Drosophila melanogaster: one gene and its partner. The protein of the gene in region 2 interacts with the protein of the main gene of each other region in a pairwise test. Each region holds a gene or a part of one and is shown on either strand. Other genes may lie near its edges. The genes, in order: soti and klhl10.

Evidence for each region.
Region 1: the proteins of klhl10 (region 2) and soti interact in a two-hybrid assay, tested with the Drosophila melanogaster proteins (one study listed by BioGRID).

Annotation. Positions count from the first base shown.
Region 1 is NT_033777.3:14,379,924-14,383,291, forward strand, and holds soti (scotti), read right to left. Parts: upstream 1,777-3,368; 5' UTR 1,607-1,776; coding exon 1,163-1,606; 3' UTR 740-1,162; downstream 1-739. UniProt on the Drosophila melanogaster protein: Post-meiotically transcribed gene that has a role in late spermiogenesis; required for actin cone progression during spermatid individualization.
Region 2 is NW_007931083.1:51,300-56,607, reverse strand, and holds the start of klhl10 (kelch like family member 10), read right to left. Parts: upstream 3,167-5,308; 5' UTR 3,066-3,166; intron 1-3,065.

The DNA of each region.
Region 1 (3,368 bases), on a different chromosome or scaffold from region 2:
TGCAACTGCAACATTGCAACAGCAATTGCAACTGCTACTGCAACTGCAACTGACTGCAGCCTATTTGTATATGAATGCAAGTGTGTATCTTTGTGCTGTGGCATGCGAAGCACATTTAGGAAATTAAATGCGTTTACCTTCGGTATATTCCCCCCCACCACCACCCCTTCCTCATCCCTGCGGCATTTCAGCCGCCTGCCGCCCACAATTTATAAGCCTTTTGGCTACATTTTGTGGCTTTGATTGCAATTATCTTTTGCATTTTGTATTTATTTGCTACACTTTGGGCAATTGTCCGCATTCGGCCTTTGTCTCTGGTTCTCCACTGTTCATCTGTTCATTGTGGCCATTGTCAGTGGCCGTAGTCCACATATGTGTGTTGTTGTTGTTGGGAGGGGAGCCTATATAAATCCTTTTGTTTTTGCCACAAGAATGCCGAGGGAGAGATGAGAGGGCAGAGGCGGAGTGATGGGATCCATGGCGTATGTGGGGCTTCCAATTTGAAGTTTATTAATTGTCAATTTCATGAATTTTTCGGTAGCCTTCAGGCCAATCGGCCTCCGCCGGCAAGCAAATCAAAATCAAAAACTTTGATTTGTATGTACGTTATGTAGGTGCTGCAAGAGGGAGTAGTCTCTATTTGAACAATAAATGCGTTATTAATCTGATACCTGTAAGTGAAGTTCGATTTGAAAATATTGAATAAAGTGTGATAGTCACTGTATAGACAATTTAATTTAGATAAATCATTCGGTTTTTATTAACATATATGTGGTACTTATATATTATGTGGTTTGTTAACAATTGTAGAATAAATTTGGAAAACAATAAGTTGAAAACCAAATATGAAAATATAAGTTTGCTAAATCGTGTTGTTTATTGAACAAGATTGAACCGCAAACATTTTTCAACTGTAAGTCAGTAAAGTAACGTCTTTTTTTCCTTTTTTGAGCTTGGTGGAGCGGTAGATAACTATGGTGTAACGTATTTTTGTTTTGAGCAAGTTTTTAGAGGAAAGATAACTAATGGGATGCATATCGGCTGGTTGGATATATGGACGTGTACATGTATGTGTAGTATGGGATCCCAATGAGCTTGCTCGATCTTCCGAGGTCCAAGAGAGGTTCTTCTAATTTACAATCTATGGGAGAACTATGGCGAATCAGAACTGACCCCAATGCTGTGGCAGACCCATACCATTCGGGTAGTTCTGACTGGTCATATTCTCGACGAGGTAATTTGCAAAGTACTCGCCTCGCTGATCCTCGCGAACGTGACGCATTGCCCTCGTGACACTGGCCATTAGGAGGCACATCTCCGGCTCCTGACTTTGGCATGGCGGAGTGGGTTTGGTCATAGTGTAGAAACTTCGTTTCTTCCGCCGACGTGGTGGTCCATTTGGCCCTCCTTGCGCCGGAAAAACGCCCAACGGTGGCTCTTGAGGAGCGTCCAGGAGTATGTCCATCTGACGATTGACTCCCAGGCGCTGCTGCTGCTGTCCATCCTCCAATGTGTCCAAGTCATCGCCAGCATCTTCATTCACCGCGTCGCCGACTCGATCGATTAGCTGCTCATCGTACAGATCGTGTCCGTGTAGTACGTCCATTCCAACTTACAGGCACATACAAAAAAAAAAAAACAACCAACAAAAATTGAACAATAAATACGGCAGTGTAGGTTGTGCTTCTGCTATTCAATACGATGTTTTTTTCTCTGTAGTATCAGTTGTGTCGTTTTGTAGTTGTAGTGTCTGAGTTTGATTTAGAACTGAATTTAATATCATGGCATTGTGATTATGAGAAATGGAAACCTGACATAAAAATCAAAGGAATATTTGCTAATAAATGATAGGAGGAAGATGTTTTTTGTTTTGTCATTTCTATATTATTTAGAGAGTCTAGAAGCCAAGAGCATCAGCAAAGAAAACTTGCCACATACCAAGTCCCATTTGGTCGAAAGTTTTTCGCCTGTTTTCCAGCCTCCTAAACTGGGGGCGATTAGATAGAATTGTGTGTATCCATTAGATGTAGTCATATCCATATCGAACGGCCAGTGACAAATGGGAAATCGCTGTCTGACATTTGCTCGCCTTGTTCCAAATCGGGTTCAGACCCCAATAGCCAGCCCCCAAGTGATTGGACACATTTAGCCCTATTTACCCACCCCAACCCTTACGAACTCACAACCCCCCACCGACGCCCCATCGACGTCGTCATTACAAGCCATTTAACTCGACTCGAATGCCTGGCATCAAGTGCTCCGGATTCAGAATCGAGAAATCGAAATCGGCAGCTGTTTGTGTGCCTGTAATGGGAGCACATTACAATCTGTAAATGAGCTCATTACGGCCAGCTCAATTAATAACTTTTCGTATTGCGTTTAAGCAATCGCATTTCGGAAATTGTTTGCCAGACAAATCGCTGTGAGAGCGAAAAGTTTTTCCCGCCGGAGGAAATTATGAAGTGGAAGTGTAAGCGGAGTGGAATGAAGTGGAGTGGAGCAGCTGCATCCAACAAGTTAGCCATTACCATCATGTTGCCAAGGATGTATCAGCAACATTTCGATTAGCGCATGCGCAGATGCTCCCCCTCGCTCTCACTGCGTTCTTTCCTCTCTCTCTCTCTCACTTTCTCTCTCTCTCTCTCTCTTGAGATCTGACCTCTCGCTTGTGGAACAATTTATTATGGCTTTGGGTCTATGACTGTGTGTAATCACATTGTTGCCATTTTCACTTCATTATTTTGCTTTAATACGGGCAAATTTTTGTTTTACTGCTGCACAGAGACAAATCGGGGCAGAGTATTTTGTTTTATCTTAATTTTTGTTGGTAAATCTTTTGTTAGGCATTAATAAAAGTTCAAGTAAAATAAATTACAAATTATAAACAATAAACAAAGATGTTTTTATATTCATTTGAAATATTACAAATAATATAGTTAGTGCTTAAGTTGATTTTACTCATATCATTTAATGAAACTTACTGTGTATAGTAATACAATTTCTCTAAGTGCAACTTGCATCCTTCGCCTTCTGTTTGCGTCAGTTCGTGCCTTCCTTCTCTGCTCACCTGTCCCCATCTCTTTCTTCGAGTCTCTTGCCTCTCTGAGAGACGAGTTGGACTGTTACAGTTGGTTAAGTAACGAGGCCAGGATGAGCTTCCCTTCCAGTTATCAATGAAGAAATGAACATGTCCCTGCTGCTTCGTCGCTTCGGGCGACCTTGCCAGTGTGTGGGTGCGTGGGTGGTTGGCTGTTTTTGGGTGGTTGAGCTGGGTTGGGCTGGACTGGATTGAAGTGGGTGGTGGTGGGTGGATTGTGTCTGCAAGTGTGCGCTTCTGTGTGCAGCAGACAGTAATTATTATGCCATGT
Region 2 (5,308 bases):
ACAACCCGGTTGGCAGCGCTGTTGAGCAGCAACATGATTGTCGGAAATCGAAGTTATCGACAATCAGTCATCGAAGGAACGATCGCAAGGCAGCAGTGGTGTGGAAGTCAGCGTGGCAGTCAGTCGAGTTCTCAGCAGCAGTCGTTCGGTCACAAACTAAGAATACTTTATATAATTACCGCATTTAGAATTAAACTAATAATTAAATTAATAATAAACAATAATAATAAACAATCTTACATGGGGGCTCGTCCAGTCCTAAATCGGTTATATGAAGGTGCAGTTGTTTAAAGAAAAAAGACATTGTTGTGTGCGTGGGTATAGTCTTTAAAAGTTGTAAAGTTGTGGCTATATCTATTGCATTTAAAGTTGGAAAAATCAGTTGTACAGATTTTGTTTGAACACAAGTCGGTAAAAGTCGGGAAAGCTGCTAGAGAGAACTGATAAAGTTGAAATTGTCGTGTGCGTGGATTTAGTCTTTAAAGTTGTAAAGTTATGGCTACGTCTACTGCATTGAAAGTTGAAAAAATCGATTGAACTCATACAGACTCAAGTCGTTTTGCTGTTGTGGAATTTAAAACAATTAAATTGCAAAGGTGGTGAAATTCGTTTCTAACGAAAATCAAAATTTGTCTTTTAACCGGTGGCGCCGTCTGCAAAATCGACTACCGTCGCGCCGTTAGAACATTGTCGTTGTTTGCTGGTGTTAGTGCCTTGTCGCGGAATGTTCACACGTACACCACCTACAAATAAAAAACTTAACACCGACCAAATACAAGCAATTCTAGAGAACGAAAGCGAGGACGAAAGCAGAAAAGAAAAAATGAACGAAGAAGATCAAAAGTTGGCGCCTGTAGGAGAAGCAGAGGCAAAGAAGCAGAATAAAGACGCTAGTGCTAAAGTCGAAGAGAAATTTGAACAAATGATGAATACTCTAACCCAGAGCATGTTGGCAAAATCTAAACAAGAGGGGCAAGTAATTATCGCTGCAGAAAAATTTGAAAAAGTTGTAAGTGACTGTGATGGCAAATCAATTCCTATTAAAAAATGGTTTGAAATTTTTGAGAAAAATGCCGAGGCATATGAACTTTCGGAGAAACAAAAATATGTTCAAGCCAGAAGTAAGATGATTGGATCAGCAGAACTTTTCTTAGAATCTGAATGTGTCAGTGGATACACTGAACTCAAAGAGTTACTAATTGAAGAATTTTCAGGCAGCTATAATAGCGCCGTTATTCACAAAAAGTTGCAAGACAGGAAGAAGAAGAGGGAGGAAACTCTACACGACTATTTGTTACAAATGAAGAAAATAGCAGCCTTAGGTGAAGTTGAAACAGTTGCTTTGATAACTCATATCGTAAACGGCCTCGACATTAAAAAGGAGTATAAGGGTGCTATGCTCCGTTGTAAAACTCTTAAGGAATTAAAGCAAGAATTCGAAATCTACGAGAGTCTGAATATTGTTGACAAGCCGAATATTCAACCAAAACCAAAGCAAATTACACAAGGTGTAAAAGCAGATCACTGCTTCAACTGTGGTTCGAGGGAACACAAACGAAAGGATTGTACACTTCCTACCAAATGTTTCAGCTGTAATCAAGAGGGCCATATCTCAAGCAAGTGTCCGGAAAAAGTAAACAGCATGCGCATTCACGTTGATAGTGCACGAACAAAGCCAGTAATCATAAATGGGATTATCATCAACTGTCTGGTGGACACAGGATCAGATGTGACCATAATTAAAGAAGCTATATTCAAGAAGATGAAAGATGTTGATTTAAACCGCACTGCAACAGTATTGCGAGGTTTGGGAAATGCCTCAACACAGCCGATTGGATGCTTCAGAGCATTAATCAAGACCGACCAGGTGGAAGCAAGCCACAACGTTTTAGTCGTCCACGATTCTAAATTCAGTTGCGATGGAATAGTGGGACACGATTTTATCAGCAAGTTTCGTCTTATCTGTAGTGCAGAAGGCTATACTTTTCTTGACCTGGAAGCAGATAAAAAACAAGCGGTTGAGTATTCCCAAATGTTTAATATTTGTGAAGAATCTTCTTTTACAGTTGCACCACAATACCGAGAAGACGTTGAACGCATGATAGAGAGAACATACGAAACACCACCCAAGCAGATAAAGCAATGTCCAGTCGAACTCAAAATTATTCCTGATGGCGTGATTAAACCCTTTCGCCATGGACACACCCGACTATCTGAAGAAGAAGCTATAGCTGTAAAGAAGCAGGTAGAGGAATGGGTCGAGCAGTCAATCGTCCGTAAATCTACATCAAATGTTGCCAGTCGCATAGTCGTTGTCAAGAAAAAGGATGGTACCCTACGCGTTTGCGTGGACTATAGAAAATTGAACACCATGGTTCTGATGGATTGTTTTCCGGTACCCATAATGGAGGAGGTGCTTGAAAAACTGCAGAGTGCCAAATGGTTTACAACCATGGACTTACAGAACGGATTTTTTCATGTGGCCGTAGAAGAAGCCAGCAAGCCGTACACAGCATTTGTTACCCGAGAAGGCTTATTCGAGTTTAACAAAGCGCCCTTTGGTTTTAAGAATTCCCCAGCAGCGTTTATACGGTTCGTTCAATTTATTTTTCAAGAACTAATCAATTCCAATATAATGCAGCTATATATGGATGACATAATTGTATATGCCGCTACCCCAGAAGAATGCATGGAAAAGACGGAAATGGTACTTAAGAGAGCTGCAGAATTTGGTCTAAAAATAAAATGGAAGAAGTGCAACTTTATGCAGAGGCGAATTCATTTCCTGGGACATATTATCGAAGGTGGACAAATATGCCCTGGAAAAGAGAAAACATCAGCAGTGAATTCCTTTGGAACACCTCAGAATGTAAAAGCCGTTCAAGGATTTCTGGGTCTCACAGGATTCTTCAGAAAATTCATACCTGGATACGCCCAAATTGCGAGACCACTGACGGACCTATTAAAAAAAGATGCCATTTTCAACATTGGACCAGTAGAGCAGCAGTCGGTGAATAAGCTGAAAGAGATTCTGGTAAACGAACCAGTATTGAGGATCTACTCACGAGAAGCAGAAACCGAACTTCATACAGATGCCTCTAAGGACGGGTTAGGAGCCGTTTTATTGCAGAAGTTCGAAGGCAGTTTTCACCCAGTCTGCTTTTGGAGCAGAAAAACTACAAAAGCCGAATCAAATCGTCATAGTTACTACCTTGAAGTAAAAGCCGCATACTTAGCTCTGAAAAAGTTCAGACACTATTTATTGGGAGTCCCTTTCAAGCTCGTCACGGACTGTGTCGCATTTAAACAGACAACAAAAAAAGCAGATGTCCCAAGAGAAGTTGGCCCATGGATTCTCTATATGCAGGATTTTAATTTTCAACCCGAACATCGTGCAGGAGAAAGAATGAGACACGTTGATTTTTTAAGCCGCCATCCCCAAGCATGCATGATGATAACATCCGAGTTGACAGCACGTATTAAAAAGTCGCAGCAGAACGATGATTCAATTAGAGCAATCCCGGAAATTCTAAAAGATCGTCTATTCCAACCCTACAAGCTAAAAGGTGGCCTGTTGTATAGTATGGTCAATGGCAATGAACTACTGGTTGTCCCTGCACTAATGGAGAGGGAGGTGATTCAAAGCGCACATGAAGTTGGCCATTTGTCGTTGCAAAAGACGATGCATAGCATACAGCAGCAATTTTTTATTCCTCATTTGGAATACAAGGTAAAAAAGCTAATTTCTAACTGTATAAAATGTATCATCCACAGCAAAAAGTTGGGAAAGCAGGAGGGATATCTAAATTGCATAGATAAAGGAGACGCACCGTTGCACACACTACACATCGATCATTTGGGGCCAATGGATTCATCGGCCAAACAGTATAAATACATTCTGGCAACAGTCGATGCGTTTTCAAAGTTTGTCTGGTTATTCCCAACCAAATCAACCGGACAGGAAGAAGTGGTCAAGAGGCTGACCGACTGGTCAAACATTTTTGGTTTCCCTAAGCGAATTGTTAGCGACAAAGGAACGGCCTTTACGAGTGGTGCGTTCGAACAATTTATGAGCAGCCATAACGTGGAACACGTCTGCACAACTACTGGAGTGGCCAGAGGCAACGGCCAGATAGAACGAGTAAATCGTTTAATTTTGGCAATAATATCAAAGCTGTCTTCAGACGAACCGTCGAAGTGGTACAAATATGTGCCTGAGGTACAAAAGGCGATCAACTGTCACGTGCATTCATCACTGAAGCTGTCACCATTTGAGGTCATGTTTGGCACCAAGATGTACACCCGAGTTGAGGATCGGTTACTGGAACTGCTCCAAGAAGAAGTGGTCTGTCAATTCAACGAGGACCGCTATGAGATGAGACAGCTGGTAAAACGCAACATCGAGCAGGCGCAGAAGGACTACAAGCGCAATTACGACAAAAAGCGCCGAGCTGAATACAAATACAAAGCAGGTGATCTGGTTGCAATTAAAAGGACCCAATTTGTAGCTGGCCGCAAGATGGCAAGCGGGTATTTAGGTCCATACGAAGTCACAGGGGTCAAAGACAATGGCAGATATGACGTTAAAAAAGCAGCAAACGTCGAAGGACCCAATGTCACATCCACCAGCTGTGACAACATGAAGTTGTGGAAGTACATAGCCGAAAATGCAGACCTATTGTCATCCGGGTCGGATGATGATGATCAGGAGGGCCGAATGTAACATGGAGTAAGGCTGAAGGCTGGCAACAACCCGGTTGGCAGCGCTGTTGAGCAGCAACATGATTGTCGGAAATCGAAGTTATCGACAATCAGTCATCGAAGGAACGATCGCAAGGCAGCAGTGGTGTGGAAGTCAGCGTGGCAGTCAGTCGAGTTCTCAGCAGCAGTCGTTCGGTCACAAACTAAGAATACTTTATATAATTACCGCATTTAGAATTAAACTAATAATTAAATTAATAATAAACAATAATAATAAACAATCTTACATAAATCTTTGTAATGCTGTTATTTTCATTTTTATACTTTTACCAAAATTAGTTACATTTGTATATATGTATATACATATATATTTTAAGCGCGGATTTATAAATTTGTTAAGAAGAAAATTGTGGTGTCAAATAAACATTAAACATAAAAGGTTAATTACATTTACTTATTTGGTTAGTATCCATGTAATCATAAGCCTAATGTGGTAACAAAAATTTACCATAACACAAAGACTCCGAGAAGCATACCTCAACGGTAGGAGCGGACTATTTTTATGCACTAGTAAGATACAAACGAATTTTTGGCTAAACTTAGCATT